3 linked regions of the Saccharomyces cerevisiae S288C genome follow. The protein of the gene in region 3 binds, or shares a complex with, the protein of the main gene of each other region. Each region holds a gene or a part of one and is shown on either strand. Other genes may lie near its edges. A codon is read from its position in the direction of its gene.

The links. Proteins that work in one complex are often made in the same cells at the same time.
Region 1: the proteins of SNF12 (region 3) and SWI1 are in contact, whole or in part, in a cryo-EM structure (PDB 7EGM), measured with the Saccharomyces cerevisiae proteins. Residues at the interface, in NP_014420.1 of Saccharomyces cerevisiae: Ser54 (codon at 1,857), Pro56 (codon at 1,863), Ser57 (codon at 1,866), Asp58 (codon at 1,869), Val60 (codon at 1,875), Pro62 (codon at 1,881), His64 (codon at 1,887), Lys83 (codon at 1,944), Arg84 (codon at 1,947), Asp86 (codon at 1,953), His87 (codon at 1,956), His90 (codon at 1,965), Leu91 (codon at 1,968), Leu94 (codon at 1,977), His95 (codon at 1,980), Arg98 (codon at 1,989), Gln102 (codon at 2,001), Arg105 (codon at 2,010), Ser106 (codon at 2,013), His326 (codon at 2,673), Ile329 (codon at 2,682), Phe330 (codon at 2,685), Tyr333 (codon at 2,694), Lys334 (codon at 2,697), His337 (codon at 2,706), Gln375 (codon at 2,820), Val376 (codon at 2,823), Leu403 (codon at 2,904), Leu407 (codon at 2,916), His495 (codon at 3,180); in NP_015309.1 of Saccharomyces cerevisiae: Tyr677 (codon at 2,417), Ile679 (codon at 2,411), Ile682 (codon at 2,402), Ser683 (codon at 2,399), Gly686 (codon at 2,390), Ile689 (codon at 2,381), Asp690 (codon at 2,378), Lys693 (codon at 2,369), Tyr770 (codon at 2,138), His771 (codon at 2,135), Arg772 (codon at 2,132), Asn773 (codon at 2,129), Leu885 (codon at 1,793), Leu888 (codon at 1,784), Lys889 (codon at 1,781), Lys892 (codon at 1,772), Asp893 (codon at 1,769), Asp896 (codon at 1,760), Pro898 (codon at 1,754), Phe899 (codon at 1,751), Thr900 (codon at 1,748), Asn903 (codon at 1,739), Arg905 (codon at 1,733), Ala907 (codon at 1,727), Glu908 (codon at 1,724), Asn1026 (codon at 1,370), Gln1031 (codon at 1,355), Trp1032 (codon at 1,352), Gln1120 (codon at 1,088), Leu1123 (codon at 1,079).
Region 2: the proteins of SNF12 (region 3) and SWI3 are in contact, whole or in part, in a cryo-EM structure (PDB 7C4J), measured with the Saccharomyces cerevisiae proteins. Residues at the interface, in NP_014420.1 of Saccharomyces cerevisiae: Leu65 (codon at 1,890), Leu68 (codon at 1,899), Ile69 (codon at 1,902), Glu71 (codon at 1,908), Leu72 (codon at 1,911), Ser74 (codon at 1,917), Phe75 (codon at 1,920), Leu78 (codon at 1,929), Val79 (codon at 1,932), Glu82 (codon at 1,941), Leu85 (codon at 1,950), Asp86 (codon at 1,953), Phe88 (codon at 1,959), Ile89 (codon at 1,962), Arg92 (codon at 1,971), His95 (codon at 1,980), Met96 (codon at 1,983), Met99 (codon at 1,992), Trp103 (codon at 2,004), Gln110 (codon at 2,025), Glu111 (codon at 2,028), Phe112 (codon at 2,031), Tyr114 (codon at 2,037), Pro115 (codon at 2,040), His116 (codon at 2,043), Leu117 (codon at 2,046), Leu320 (codon at 2,655), Glu458 (codon at 3,069), Ile461 (codon at 3,078), Gly462 (codon at 3,081); in NP_012359.1 of Saccharomyces cerevisiae: Ser309 (codon at 2,054), Lys312 (codon at 2,045), Gly421 (codon at 1,718), Pro424 (codon at 1,709), Phe425 (codon at 1,706), Glu426 (codon at 1,703), Tyr428 (codon at 1,697), Ile661 (codon at 998), Leu664 (codon at 989), Gly665 (codon at 986), Ser668 (codon at 977), His669 (codon at 974), Phe671 (codon at 968), Ala672 (codon at 965), Glu675 (codon at 956), Glu676 (codon at 953), Gln678 (codon at 947), Met679 (codon at 944), Asn680 (codon at 941), Leu682 (codon at 935), Thr683 (codon at 932), Leu686 (codon at 923), Ile687 (codon at 920), Arg688 (codon at 917), Leu689 (codon at 914), Gln690 (codon at 911), Met691 (codon at 908), Glu692 (codon at 905), Lys693 (codon at 902), Leu694 (codon at 899).

What each region holds. Positions count from the first base shown.
Region 1 is NC_001148.4:519,137-525,458, reverse strand, and holds SWI1 (Swi1p), read right to left. Parts: upstream 4,446-6,322; coding exon 501-4,445; downstream 1-500. Other genes in the region: IRC15 (Irc15p), read left to right, coding at 5,226-6,322. UniProt on the Saccharomyces cerevisiae protein: Involved in transcriptional activation. Component of the SWI/SNF complex, an ATP-dependent chromatin remodeling complex, which is required for the positive and negative regulation of gene expression of a large number of genes.
Region 2 is NC_001142.9:91,553-96,549, forward strand, and holds SWI3 (Swi3p), read right to left. Parts: upstream 2,979-4,997; coding exon 501-2,978; downstream 1-500. Other genes in the region: 60S ribosomal protein uL22 RPL17B, read left to right, coding at 1-105; KRE9 (Kre9p), read left to right, coding at 3,540-4,370; RFA3 (Rfa3p), read right to left, coding at 4,609-4,977. UniProt on the Saccharomyces cerevisiae protein: Involved in transcriptional activation. Component of the SWI/SNF complex, an ATP-dependent chromatin-remodeling complex, which is required for the positive and negative regulation of gene expression of a large number of genes.
Region 3 is NC_001146.8:668,721-672,661, forward strand, and holds SNF12 (Snf12p), read left to right. Parts: upstream 1-1,697; coding exon 1,698-3,398; downstream 3,399-3,941. Other genes in the region: YNR021W (uncharacterized protein), read left to right, coding at 1-871; mitochondrial 54S ribosomal protein bL9m MRPL50, read right to left, coding at 1,054-1,473; MPP6 (Mpp6p), read left to right, coding at 3,689-3,941.

The DNA of each region.
Region 1 (6,322 bases), on a different chromosome or scaffold from region 3:
ATCTTGACTTTGTGGGCAGCTTGAAATTTTCTTGGATGATTCTGTCCTATTTGAGCTTTACCTCCTCCCATCGAAAGGGCGAAGTCACACCGTTTTCAAAGGTGGAGTGTTACCCCACCCCCCACGCTGACTCCACATCTGACTCTCTACCGTTTTATTATAGCGAACGTTAACTCTGAATGTATGTGTGGTGTGTATGAATTGTATTTACTGCCTGAAATGGAGTCATAAACTCCTTTATACAATTTCAAGGAATTTTTGTAGCCGCGACGGGACCAGTGGGAAGTTACTAAAACCATTGTTTAGTTGAGCCGCCCAAGATGTGACTTCATGGCAGCTATACGTTCATTTGGGCTTTTGGCACTAAAGGCGCTCTTCCGACTGTATTGTTTCCATAAGGTCTATTATATTAGTTACAACATTTTATATAGGTTTATAAAAAGAAAATAGTGCGCAAGGAAGAAATAAGCAGTAAAAGAATATTGTTTAAAAAAATCGCATCATTCCAAATTGGTTAGGATATCATTTTTTAAATTGTAAAGTAATTGATACTGGTTTATTATTTGAATATCAACTGATGGATTAGTGAATAACTGGAAAATTTCTAAATCCGTGGGGAACAAATTTGGAATCGATGCTATTTTTTTTAATATTTCCGGGTCGTTGTTTAGGCAGTTTTCAAAACAAATACTTTTTTCAACCAAACATTTGATTAACTGAACACAGGATATGTTAATTGACGGTAGGAGCACCTTTGAATAATTTTGTTGCTGTAACAAAGTATTCTTACTTGTGGAATTGTTAATATTCAATATTATCTCACTTAACTTCAATAGTCCAGATCCAATATTTTCTTCAGAGCTCAACCACACAAATGGTAAATTCTTGTTGAAATTGAAGCTAGAATCTTTGTTGCCGTTATTGTTACTGTTACTGTCTGAATTATTCTCACTGATTTCAAATACTTCATTGGATAACGGCAATATTTTTTGTACAATGACTAAGATGCTAGTTAGACTCTGAGAAATTACCGGAGAAAATTGGTCGATCAGCAAACTTGGATCAGCTGATTGCGATAACACTTGCTGCAGCGGTATGGCAGAAAATAAAAACGAAACCACATCATTTAGCAAGTTGTGCCTATTGTTATTATTTTTATTGTTATCATTGTATAAATTCAAAAGTCTTCGTAACAACTTTTTGTCCTTGTGGTTGTTGTTACTGTTGCGATCATAGAGGTTGTTACCTGTGTTTTTGTTCAGAAGGATTGATTTGAAATAATTTAGGTTCGGTTTTTCCAATGAAAATAATTTGGCCAAAATATCTACACCGAAAGTTTGATATTTTCCCCATTGCAACTGGAATTCGTTGAAGGTCAAAGATTCAGAGCCAAATGATGACGAAGACGCCATTGGATTGAGTTTTGGTTGACCAAAACTTATGACTAGAATAAGAATTAACAAGCAATCAATGGACGAAGCGATCTCTAATAAATGAGAAATATTTGATAAAACAATAACCAAATCCTTCTTGAAATTTAGTATTTTCCTATTGCATGTAAAGTTTTCTGGATGGATTAAGACTAACCAAAGTAGATCAGATATAAATCTCTTTAGGTAAAAATTTCTCGACATGATTCTGGAGTTGTTATCGGAGAATGAAATATTCCTCAAAATCATCGAGATGGTAGACAGTTGATCGTTAATCAGAACTTTGGGATCCTCTGCCCCTCTGGTATTTATTTTTGTAAATGGATCATCAATTTCATCCTTGATTTTTTTCAAAGAAGTCAAATAAGGAGTTCTGTGAATTTTCAAAGGAAATTGGTTAGGGAGGAATCTTATTGGTTCAGGCAATAAGTCCCACTGTTTAACTGCGGGAGATGTCGACTGCATACTTATAAAACATTCAGTGTCGAGATCAGGCTCCATTTCAGTAGGAGTAGGGGTGGGCAATTGATTACCTGTTAAAGAATCTACCAGGATAGTGACTTTTTCATCGTTAGAATCATTCGGTGTAAGTGTAGCGTTGTTGTTTACCTTTTCAAAAATTTTATCAACCATTTTATCGTGTTGGGTAACATAGTATTGATTTGATCCAGCATCCTCATAATAATAGTCAGAAGTGTTTCGATGGTATGGAACAACATTTTGTGACAAATTTGACAGTAAATTCATGCCGAGTATTGCCAAGGAGTCTAATAATTCAGGGTATTTGACCAGAGATATTTTTAAGTTCGAGTCAGCGCTTGTGACCAACAAGGTGTTCAAGGCGGTGTTTATTTCTCCAAGATTCTTCGATTGGAGGGACATTGATAAAGCATGTAAATTAATTGCACCTAACTCTGGCGCGAAGAGAAAAATTGGCTTGTTGGAATCTATTTTCTCTCCTATTTTAGAGATGTAATTGATATCGTAACCATTGTAATGCTTGAGGCGGTTGATTAGGGGTTTGTAGTTCCTAACAATTGATCTCTTGTAGACTTTAGGCAATTTTTTTAGTTCGATTTCATATTGTTGACGTAATTTTGTCTCTAATAGCAATTTCTGTTGCCTTTGTTGATCCTCTAAAAGTTTTTGTTGTCGTTTCTGAAAATCCTCCCTTTCTTTACGTTCTAGTTCCAATTCCTTTTTGGTCTTTTTTTTCACTCTTTGCTTTCTTGGCTTCTTAACTTGCTGTTGGCCAATATTGTTATTATTTACGTTGATATTAATATTGCTATTCAAGCTTTTTGGAGTGTTTGCTGAAACCGGAACGATCCCTGCTTCTGTTCCTGGTGCTGCTGTAGCAGGAACGGACGCGCCAGGAGCCGCGGGGGTTGGTGCTGACGATGCACTATTAATGTTATTGTTGGCATTGGCCAATGCAGCGGCCTGCTGCTGTTGTTGAACTTTCTTCAATAGTTCTTGTAAGAACTGTTGCAAGAATATTCTTTTCGCTTGAGTTTCCTTTATACCTTCTTGGGAAATCATGTGTCTTTCGTAAGGTAATAAAATTCTAAAATAGATTGATTCTAATTGTTGGTAATCGGAAATTTGCAGCCTTTGGGCCACCATAGACCACTGTTGGGTCCTTGTTACTTGATCTGCACCACCGAATTTTTGAACCAACATATAAAGATAAAAAAGATTTATTTTTCTGTTGCCGATTTCTGGTATTGATTGTAACGGCATATTTCTTTTTTTACAGTTTTCAATCAAAGATTTCATAAAAAGTTCATATTGTTTGTTATTCAATTCAGTAGATATTTTCTCTTGTAATGCCGGGTTCAGACTTTGTAAAATAGATCTTTGTTGTTGCTGCCGTTGACTCTGCAAAAATTTGGGATTCTGTTGTTGCTGTTGTTGCTGTTGTGGTTGTTGATTTTGCTGTTGTTGATTTTGTTGCTGCTGCTGCTGCTGCTGTAGAGCCTGAAAACGTTGCTGCTGCTTTTGCTGCAAAGCGGCAAACATTGCAGCTCTTTCAGAGAACACTGTATTTGCGTTTGAAGTTGAATTATTGGTATTAGCGGGAGTTGCAGCAGGCACGGCAGTGACATTATTGTTATTGCTCGTTTTATTATTGCTGTTATTACGCATATTATGGTTATTACTGTTGTTGTTGTTGTCACTTGTGTTCGGAACAAATTCATTGCTTGCAGAGGATGATCTGTCCATTGAATTTGAAGCAGCGTAATTAGAAATAAGCTGGTTAGACGTCAAATTACCATTATTGGAAGCACTGTTATTGAATGGCAAAAATTGTTGATTTGCATTCGGAGTAGAGTTAGAGTTTGTGTTCGGAGTAGAAGATGAGGAATTTTGACTGATGGATTGAACATTGGTGATAAAATGGGGTGTTATTACATTATCGTTCGCAATTCCGGTGCTATTATTATTATTGTTACCGCCATATAGCTGTTGTTGAGCTTGAAGAGGTAAATTGGAAGAATCAATGATTGAATTCTTGGCTAAAATAGCCTGAGGAGACAGGCTGTTTAAATTTGTGTTGGAATTGTTTGAGTCATATGGAGAATTGAATTGGGGAGACTGGTTCTGAATGAAATTAGCAGCTTTTCCACCGGTAACATTAGCAGGAGCGGCATTATTAACGACTGCTGTTGGAGAAGTAAAGTTCGTGCTGGAGGCTACCGTGTTACTGTTATTGTTATCATTGTTATTACTATTACTGTTGTTATTGTTGGAATCCAAATTCTGGTCAAAAGGTTTTGGGTCGAAAAAATTCTGAAAATCGTCTACACCACTGGCTCCGGTATTCGTATTGTTGTTATTAGTATTGTTATTAGTATTACTACTATGGCCTGTGCTATTGTTGTTATTGGTATTATTAGCAGGATTATTATTATTATTAGTATTATTATTATTAGTATTATTGTTATTGGTAGTAGTAGTAGTAGTAGTAGTATTATTATTATTATTATTATTATTCAAATTAAAGAAATCCATCTTTATTTATTACTATTTTTATTATTACTATTTTTATTATTATTATTATTATTATTATTATAAGACACGAAAAGAAAGAAAATAGAGATAGAAAAAGAAAATTTTAAGAATAATGAGTGTAATAGGAAAATAGCCGCCAGTCAGTGATTATTACCTGGTGAACAATAATCTGCAATCCGTGAGAGGAAACAACGCGAAATGCCAAAGCAGAGATGGTGTAATAAGGATAGAGCCACACAACAATACTTTCTAGAAAAATAAATAATAAAAAAATAAGGTAAACAAAGTGTAATCAGTTGCCTTGCCGTATAGTGTTTTGCGGTATAAATATTGTTATTCAATACGAATGATGAATACCGGAAGGTGGTTATGACTAAAACGCAATGTGAATATGATTACAACTGGCAACAACCACAACAGAAACAACAATAATGCATAGTGGTAATAATACGTAAAGTCAATCAGCGTTCAGTTTTAAAAAAAATCTTTTCTCGGTGCTTTGGGGAAGGAGGGGTGGCGTCGTTTCGTAATCGGAGATACCCAAAGTTCATATCACGATAAACGTCAGTTCCGGGTTAGAATAAATTTATGCGGTAGTTTCTGTGCGAACTTGAGTGCGGTGGCATTTTCCTCCGGCGAGGCCTGGGTGGAACACTCAGGCAGGGGGTACACCCAGACCTGCAGGCATGCATCTGCTGTTTCGGCGGCTATTTAACATGCGCACGATTTTACGAGAGGAGAAGAGAAGTATGATATAATTAACGGTGAGCATTTTTGGTAATGGGAGGTGAAGACGAAATATTAAGCACGATGGAGGATTTTGCGGCAGTTTACGATGTCCTGGTAATTGGTTGCGGGCCTGGTGGCTTTACTGCAGCGATGCAGGCTTCGCAAGCAGGCCTGCTCACAGCATGTGTTGACCAGCGTGCCTCGCTGGGGGGCGCCTACCTTGTAGACGGGGCAGTCCCGTCCAAGACCTTGTTATATGAGTCTTATCTTTATCGGCTGCTACAACAGCAAGAACTTATCGAGCAACGTGGCACGCGGCTGTTTCCTGCAAAATTCGATATGCAGGCGGCCCAGAGTGCACTCAAACATAATATAGAAGAGTTGGGCAATGTGTATAAACGTGAGCTATCTAAAAATAATGTTACTGTGTATAAAGGCACGGCTGCTTTCAAAGATCCTCACCACGTTGAGATTGCGCAGCGCGGCATGAAACCGTTCATCGTAGAGGCGAAATATATTGTTGTGGCGACCGGATCTGCGGTTATTCAGTGTCCTGGTGTTGCAATAGATAATGACAAGATAATTTCATCTGATAAGGCATTGTCACTGGATTATATACCTTCACGTTTTACTATCATGGGAGGAGGTACAATTGGACTAGAAATCGCATGCATATTCAATAATTTGGGCTCTCGGGTTACTATCGTTGAATCTCAAAGCGAGATCTGTCAAAATATGGACAATGAGTTGGCTTCTGCCACGAAGACCCTCTTGCAGTGTCAGGGTATAGCTTTTCTTTTAGACACTAGAGTGCAGCTCGCGGAAGCCGATGCTGCCGGTCAGCTGAACATCACCTTGCTTAACAAGGTGTCAAAGAAAACATATGTACATCATTGCGACGTCTTGATGGTTTCTATTGGTAGACGTCCCCTGCTAAAAGGTTTAGATATTTCCAGCATTGGTCTAGACGAACGGGATTTTGTAGAAAATGTTGACGTACAAACCCAAAGTCTGCTAAAGTACCCTCATATTAAACCCATAGGAGACGTTACATTGGGCCCCATGCTGGCGCTGAAAGCGGAAGAACAAGCTATAAGGGCCATTCAATCAATAGGCTGTACAGGCTCCGACGGAACCTCGAATTGTGG
Region 2 (4,997 bases), on a different chromosome or scaffold from region 3:
ACCGAAAAGGAAGAAGCTGTCGCCAAGGCTGCTGAAAAGAAGGTTGTCAGATTGACTTCTAGACAAAGAGGTAGAATTGCTGCCCAAAAACGTATCTCTGCTTAAATGCTTTTTTAATTTTAAAATCTTTTAAAGTGAATATTTGATTTATATACTACTATATACTAATTTGTTTAGGCCAATACACAGAATCAAAATCAAACTAAGAACAACACAGAACAAGAAAAATAACTTTTGATAAAGGCTCTTTTAAATAAAAAAAATAGAAAAAATAGAAAATAACACAATTATAGATATATATCTACATGTACATAACATGTCTAGTCGAATCTAGAGAAATGGGATAAAAATCAGAGAGAAGCCAAGTCAAGTGACGCACCATTAAAGAAATGAACCTAGAAGAAAGAAAATAAGCAAAAATATAGAGCGAAACAAAATAGAAAGTGTTACTAATGAAGAATAATTACAACAAAAACAAAAATGATCTCCATGTGTCATTGTTATGCCGACCAATACCTGTAAAATTGAGGTGCTTCAATAGAAATGGGTTTGACATCATTCTCGTTAGATATACTTTGGCCATTATGGTTTTCACCTGTTTCAATATTAGGTTTGTTAAATGGATTCTTTCCAATACTTAAAGTTTCAGGTTTCGATAGCATACTTTTGAAATGGTCTATCTGCGACCTGATTTCCTCCTTCTCCGCCACTGAACTATTATTGATATTGCTGTCGGATATTAAATTCAAGCATTTGCTTAAAACGTTTACAATCTTGCTGGAGTTTTGGTTGAAGTTCAATCTCTGAATTAGTAAGTTTTCCTGTTGTCTTTCTAGGGTTTTCCTTTCTAGCTCCATAAATTTTTCTAGTTTCTTTAAATGATTTAATTTAGCGTCCAATTTTTCCATTTGAAGTCTTATTAGCTCGTTAGTCAAAAAATTCATTTGCCTTTCCTCGTTGGTAGCGAAAATATGACTCCTATAACCCAATGATGATATGGCAATTTCTGAACCTTCTTTAATATGTTCAATTGGCTTTTGGTCAGAGATTTCCTCTTTTTGTGATTTTATTGATTCTGCGGACTGAATGGCTCTCTGGGTCATCGACTGTACAGTCTTCGGATTGACCAAACCCACCAAGAATGCTATTGTTGATAAAACGGGGTTTTCGCTCTTCGAAAATGGCAAGTGAGGAGCATATTTCAAAGGTCCTAACCCGTTGTCATTATCACCCTTGCCATTGCCGTCACCGTATAAAAATTTATCTTCAATGGGCAATTGAAGGAAACGTAAGATACACTGTTCAGGCGACTTATTGCCAACGTTTTTGGCCACTTTGTACCAGTCAGCGCCGAATTCTTGTATTCCCTTTAATAGCTTTTGCAAATCTTCTTTTGACCAATTTTCATCAATTTGTTCTAGAATTTTGACTTTTTTCAGAGGACGTGAAGTTTCGCCTTCTTCCAATAGATTGGCATCACCAGTCATGCTTGTTGACGTACTTACTTCATTGTTCATTTTACCACCATTATCATTTTTGTCACCATTTTCATCATCAGTGGTACTGGGGGGGTGAGTTATTTCATCATATTTTCTTTTGCTTTCTTTCAAATATTTATATAAAGTACTCTCCGAATCACTAGTGTTCATCATTTTTTTAAGCTTTGCCATATCCGGCAGTTGTACAGATGGTTTGTAACTTTCGAATGGGAATAGTCCTCTGGGGGCATCATGCCTTGTGGAATATTGAGACGTTAGTGGGGGTTCGATGTTCTTAGGTAATAGTTTGGAGTCAACCTGATAGTTTATTAGCCCCCATTTTGTTAAGAATTTATGCAATCTGAATAATGCAGCAGCATCACCAGAGACGTTTCTCCTCGCCGTAGTGACACTGAAATATTCGTTGGGGTTCAGCCTGTAAGAATTTACCATGAAGTTTCTGTATCTCATGTAAACTTCAGGTGTCTTTGATGGAATCCTATTGGTGAAAAATTCAGGTAACGATTGAACTTCAATGGAATGAATTTTTTCTAGATTGAACCATTTAGAATAACTTGGAATAACAATTTCATGTGCTTGCGGTATCTCAAAAGTTTCGGGTTCTACTCTGGTGATAGTGGTTTTCTTTGGATTGGCACTTTTGGAGTGATCGTTCATGATTTCACGTTCCTGTTCGTTTCTCTCTTCGCCACTATCTACCTTCTTATCTACACTTTCCGTCTTTTCTATGATATCCTCCTGTTCAGCTTTATGCGCATCTGGAATTTCAGATGGAGTATTAGCAACCGACGAAGTGTTGCCTAGTTGTTTAGACTCACTCTTTGTGTCTCCAAAAATGGAATTATCAGGACTAATCATCGGTTGATCGTCATCCTCATCATCTTCTTCCACTTCATCCATTTCCTTTGTGTTCTCATCTGGCTGACTTTCTTCTTTGACACCTTCAATAACAGTGTTATTCTCTGGTTCTTCCTCTTTTTGTATTTTGACGTCCTCCATGTTTTTAACGTCACCATTTGAATCCTGTATTGTGCTGTCTTCCTTAATAGCAGGCTTATTGTTTTCATTGTCTACCGGGTTCGTAGGTATACTAGGAGTGTTTGCCTCATTGTTCGAAACAGAACTCTCGGTTTCGCCAAAGAGATTATCACTATCCTCATTATCTTGGCCAAAGACGTTCTGGGCCCTGCTTTCTTCTGTAGAAGGTGTTTCCTGGGAATCTAGCTTATTCGCTTGCATAGTCGGCTGCTGCTTTGCCGTTACCGTTATCGCCTCACTTTCTGCATCGCGTGTGTTCGGAACAGTTGCTTCATCCTTCAGAGACTCATCTTGTTGCTGCGATTCTTCACCAGCAGTATCTGTATTGGCAACCCCTGCCACAGCTGCATTAGCGTTGCTATCACTATTGTTGTCATTGCCATGTTGGTCCACGTCCACGGAAGCGTTTACCGTGGACCCCTCACCCAGTGTATTCTCCATGCTTGCAAACCGTATCACAATTGGTCTCTGAACGCGCCTCGATGTACCAATATATCGCGCCTTGCATGGCCTTTACACATTCCTCTTGCGTATCTGATATAGTTTGTTTTCGTCTTTTCGCCAATGGCCTAAACGCCAAACGTCCGGCCTCGTTATTCGTGATGCCTACTTAATGGCTCTTAAATCGAATTTAAACTAGCTCAAAAGTAATCAATTCAAACTAAAATAACATCATTGGCCATCCTGAATTGTTGGATGCCATCTAAACTGCGTATTGACCATTATTCCATCGTAACCACGGCGGTTCAATATAATATCACTTTTGACGATTAGGTGTTTTATTTACATTTCTTTTTTTTTTTCCTCGAAAAAGATCTTCAAGGATAATACAGGAATAGAACAGGAGTCTCAAAGCATTCTTGAAGCCAGATTTGCTCCAGTTTGATAGTTCCAAGAAGCGCTAAAAGTGGCAGTTCACACTTTGTTTTGATTACTAGGAATCTACTCTTTCGCTTTTTACTTCCTTCTCAGAGAATCAGCAACTGTGACATATTATAGATAATGCGTTTACAAAGAAATTCCATCATATGTGCTTTGGTGTTTTTAGTCTCATTTGTGCTGGGAGATGTGAATATTGTTTCCCCCAGCTCCAAGGCAACATTCAGTCCAAGTGGTGGTACTGTCTCTGTTCCCGTTGAATGGATGGATAATGGGGCATATCCCTCGTTAAGCAAGATTTCAACTTTCACGTTCAGTCTTTGTACTGGTCCTAATAACAACATTGACTGTGTGGCCGTACTTGCCAGTAAAATTACTCCAAGTGAGCTAACACAAGATGATAAAGTTTACTCTTACACAGCTGAGTTTGCTTCGACCTTAACTGGGAACGGTCAATATTACATTCAAGTTTTTGCCCAGGTGGACGGTCAAGGTTACACTATCCATTATACACCAAGATTCCAGTTGACTTCCATGGGCGGTGTTACGGCTTATACATATAGTGCCACAACTGAACCTACTCCCCAGACTTCTATTCAAACAACCACTACAAACAACGCCCAAGCCACTACTATTGACAGTCGTTCATTTACTGTTCCGTACACCAAGCAGACTGGTACGTCGCGTTTCGCTCCAATGCAAATGCAGCCAAATACTAAAGTGACCGCTACCACATGGACAAGGAAATTTGCCACTAGTGCTGTGACATATTACTCTACCTTTGGGTCATTGCCAGAGCAAGCAACTACGATAACTCCTGGCTGGTCTTATACGATATCATCGGGAGTAAACTACGCTACTCCTGCATCTATGCCTTCAGATAATGGTGGTTGGTACAAACCATCCAAGAGATTGTCTTTGTCTGCAAGGAAAATCAACATGAGAAAAGTATGAAAAATAGACGGCTTCTACTATCATCATTACAGTAAGGGTTGAAGTCAGGAAAGGTTAAAAATAAAATAAATATCAAAAAGTTTTTAGCGGAAGGCGTTAAGGCAGCAAGTACACATTCATTTATCTATCTATACATCTATAAACACAACTACAATTTTTTTAGAAATGGAATTTATTATATGAAGGGAAGACATATAGAGGCAACAGTACATAAAGGTAAGAATAAAAGCGATTTTAGCTAGTATATTTCTGGGTATTTCTTACATAGTCTCTGTAAAGCAACCACACCGTTTAAGCTTAAATCTTCGTTCTCCTTGAATTTGCATAGTACAGCGTCTAGAATCAAAAATCCTAGCTCGCCGTCATCATTGTTCCTGCAAACAAACTCATACCACGAGTCGATCTCAAATGTTTTATTCATAGATACACGAATATTGTTCAACGTAATCATTTCAACCTCGCTGCCGTTTTTCGATGATATGGTTGGCGATTGTAAAATCAACTGAGATTCAGTGGGTTGTGATTTGATTTGCGCTATTATCCTAAACACAGGAGCATTGACGTTGGAGATTTCTGTGGGGTCAACTCTTGGTGTTTCGCTGGCCATTTTTACTTGTGTTACTGGTA
Region 3 (3,941 bases):
TGCTACCGGTAGATCCGCCATCAAGAGCATCAACCTAAACCTTCATCTGGTAGCCCGTAGCAACCCTTTCTCTATGTGTCTAGAGTACCTGCTTGGATTTTTTTTTGCAAGTTTGAAAAGTAAGCAATTGGAAGAATTTATGGAGATCGTGATCAGGCCAAATGGTATTTTAGTTACTAGTGAATCTGCTCATCCTAACAAGAATGCGCATGAAATTTTGACCAAATTTAGATTTGTCACTTCTATTGTTAACAAAGAATTCATGAATCAAGCTAGAACTGAAAACTATTTCCTGTCTATTGCACACACTAGTGAAAACGATAAACTACCAAATAACTTCGTCTACATGTCCGATGTTAATCAATTATCAGGGTTCATGTTTCATTACTCCAAGCCCTATGAGGTTTTGTCCCAAGCTGGTAATCTTTTGAAATATATAAGTTTCACCGATTTGCCTGTCAACCCGCCACGCGATGATAAAGAATGGGAATCTTCAATTGAACCAAAGGCTATCATTCGTTGCGCTGTTCCCCAAAATGAGAATGAATTGAAGTTGTTAAACCAAATTATTTCCTTAGTCGTAGAAATCTACGATGGGTTCACTCAAGATTTAGTCCAACAGTCTCCAAACTTATTCATTACCAACGACATCTTGAAAAGAACTACCAACTTGCGTCAGCAAGAACTGAACAAGATCAAAAAGTTTATGAAAGAAACTGAATTGGAATTGGCAAAGGAGAAGAAATTAGAATTGGAAAAAGCCAAAAGACGTCAATTGAAGGCCTCTGGTCAACAAGAAAAGGTAGATCAAAAAATGAAAGAGAAAAGAGAAAGACGTCTCAAAAACAAGCAAAGAACAAGATTTCAGTAAGAACCACTTTGTTCTTCTTTCCTCCTTATAATTTTCTGAACCTCTTCAGTTTTTGTATACGAACGTTTTCCATGTATCCATACATTTAAATAGTAAGTATGTAAATTGGTATGTGGTGTTTTGAATTGCGATGTTGCCTATATACAAGATTGTACGCTATCTGAATACATACTCTTTACCAATCAAATGTCAAGACCGGGGATCTTAACCTCTTCGATAGTAATCCCAGAATCCAATAATCCCTTCTTTTCCTCTTTTGGCTTCTCTTCTTTCTTGTGGCCAAAAACAGATTCTTTACGTAACTCCATGTTCTTTTGAACTTCCGTTTCATGGCGTTTAGAGAGCTGTTGATGGTCTTCCTCTAGCTTTGCCTCAAGTGTTTGGTATTGTTTTAACAGTTCCGTATTTATGTCGTGTTCTTCGCTGAGTATGTATTTTGCACCATTGAAGTTATGTAAATAGTTTCTCATTAAAGATGGTTTGACATTTGCAACTTGTCCTTTATATAATTGAAATCGCGGGAAATCCTTCAGGACTTGAACCTTGACCCTGTGGGTTCTCTTTGTCAGAGCGCTCAGACACACCTGGGTGCAATGTAGCATCTTTGGTCGACCTGTTTCGTTCGTTATTTAGTTAGCCTTTTATATTCCTTACGGTATAACGTAACTTAACTGCCCTTTGAGTTTGCTTTTTCATCGGAAAGAACAAATGAACTAAAAACTTGCAATAATAAACAAAAAAAATACAAAATAACGTGGATGTATTAAACCAAAAACAAAATAAGACAACTCTAAAGCTGTCAAACAGAGATCTAACGGATTGAACCATGTCCAAAGTAATGAAACCCAGCAACGGAAAAGGTTCTAGAAAGAGTTCAAAAGCAGCCACACCTGATACTAAAAATTTCTTTCATGCAAAGAAAAAGGATCCGGTGAACCAAGATAAAGCAAATAATGCTTCTCAAATTACGCCAACAGTGCCACATTCTCATCCATCAGATATGGTTATCCCTGACCATTTAGCCGAATTGATTCCTGAGCTGTATTCTTTCCAACAACTGGTGGATTCCGAGAAAAGATTAGATCATTTTATTCATCTGCGAAACTTACATATGAAGCGAATGGTTGCGCAGTGGGAGAGGTCAAAGCTATCCCAAGAGTTTCTTTATCCTCATTTAAATTTTCCAAATGTAAAATTTCTCCGAATCTTCATTTCAAATGTTAGTGAAAACCAACCCTGGCAAATGGACACAAACAATGAGGCTGACCTTATGGCACTGGAGAATGCCACTTGGACGATGAGAATCGAAGGTCGATTATTGGACAATGTGCAAGCTAATGATCCAGCAAGAGAAAAATTTAGCTCATTCATAGAATCGATAGTGGTAGACTTCAAAAATAAGGAAAACGATAATGTGCCATCGACTAAATTTAATGCGGCCCCTGAAGAAAATGCCACCGAAGGACCCAGTGATAAGAAATTGAACTTAAACTTACCGTTACAATTTTCACTGCCGAATGGTGACAACTCTACTACGACTAATACCGACCAAAATAATGCCACGATGGGGGAGGAGACTGCCAAAAAGGATATGAGTTCTACAACTCCAAAACTAGAATCAGTGAAATGGCAGTATGACCCGAATAATCCTGTAGACTTCGATGGTCTCGATATTAAGAGGGTAGGGTCTGAAAATGTAGAATGCACTATAAGCATCCTGCGAAAATCATCCCCAGAAGAGCCATTTATGAGCTACTCTCCACAACTAACCGCAATAATAGGATTGAAGAGCGGTACATCACATGATGCAATATTTTCCATATATAAATACATCCATTTAAATGAATTGCTTACCAATGATGAGTCTGCATTCGAAAATTTGATGGGCAACAGGAACAATCACAATAGCAACACCAGTACTAGTAAGATGCTTGATGCAGCCTCCAGTCAAGTTTCTATTGTAAAATTAGACACTCAGCTTATTACCTTATTACCCAGCAGTCTTAAAGAATCTTCTCCAGATACAATGAAATTAACGGATTTACTGTCCCTTATTAATAGTACTCACCTGCTCCCATTACAGCCAATTGAAATTGATTACACAGTACGCGTTGATAAAGCTTCCACTTATGGTGAGTTGGTTCTTGATATTGAAGTACCTGATGTCAACGCTCTAAAATTCAATAATACACAAAGAGAAAGTCAAATTGGGGCTGCTGAATTGAATGAAAATGCCAGGGAATTGGAACAAATCAAACCCAAGATAGCTTTACAGGACAAAGAAATAACGTCCGTTCTCTCGAATCTACACGAGAGCAACAAACGATACCGTTTCTTCAAGAAAATTAGTGAGGACCCAGTTAAAGCATTAAATGAATGCATTGCTTCTACCTCGAATGCTTTGAAAGTTTTATCGGGAGATGAGGGCTATAATGAAGATATGGTAAGGCGGGCTAACTTTTACAAGGAAAATGAAGCTATGTTGCGCGAGAATATAGAAGTCATATTATCAAATGGACGAATGTAGGCTTCTTTACATTGATACACAATAGACTGAAGATTTATGTAGTTTTCTTTGTATATAAACTCTAGATAGGAAAAGAAAGGTCACCATTCATTTATAATAATTAAAGACGAACAGACAATGCTGATTTGTTTATAGCGCCTACAAGTAATGGCGGCTGTCTGATTCCATTGTCTCTTTCTAAGAAAAGCGCTGAAAATTTTCTACTGGAAATTTCAGAATATGAAAAAGTAGTAGAGATGAGGGCCACTTAAACACAATAAGCATATAAGGAACCAAGGGAAAAGCAACAAATGAGTGCTAACAATGGTGTCACTGGCAAACTCTCTAGTAGAGTCATGAATATGAAGTTTATGAAATTTGGTAAGACGGATGACGAAGAGAGTTCCAACTCCAATACGCCGTCTAATATCAACTCAGATGTGGAACCTATAGAGCAGAAAGGTAAACTCTTTGGTCTGGATGACTCAGCGTGGGACCTCAATAGCTACAAAGATGATTTAAAAAAAATTTCAGGTAAGGAGAAGAAAAAGGTGAAAAGAGTAG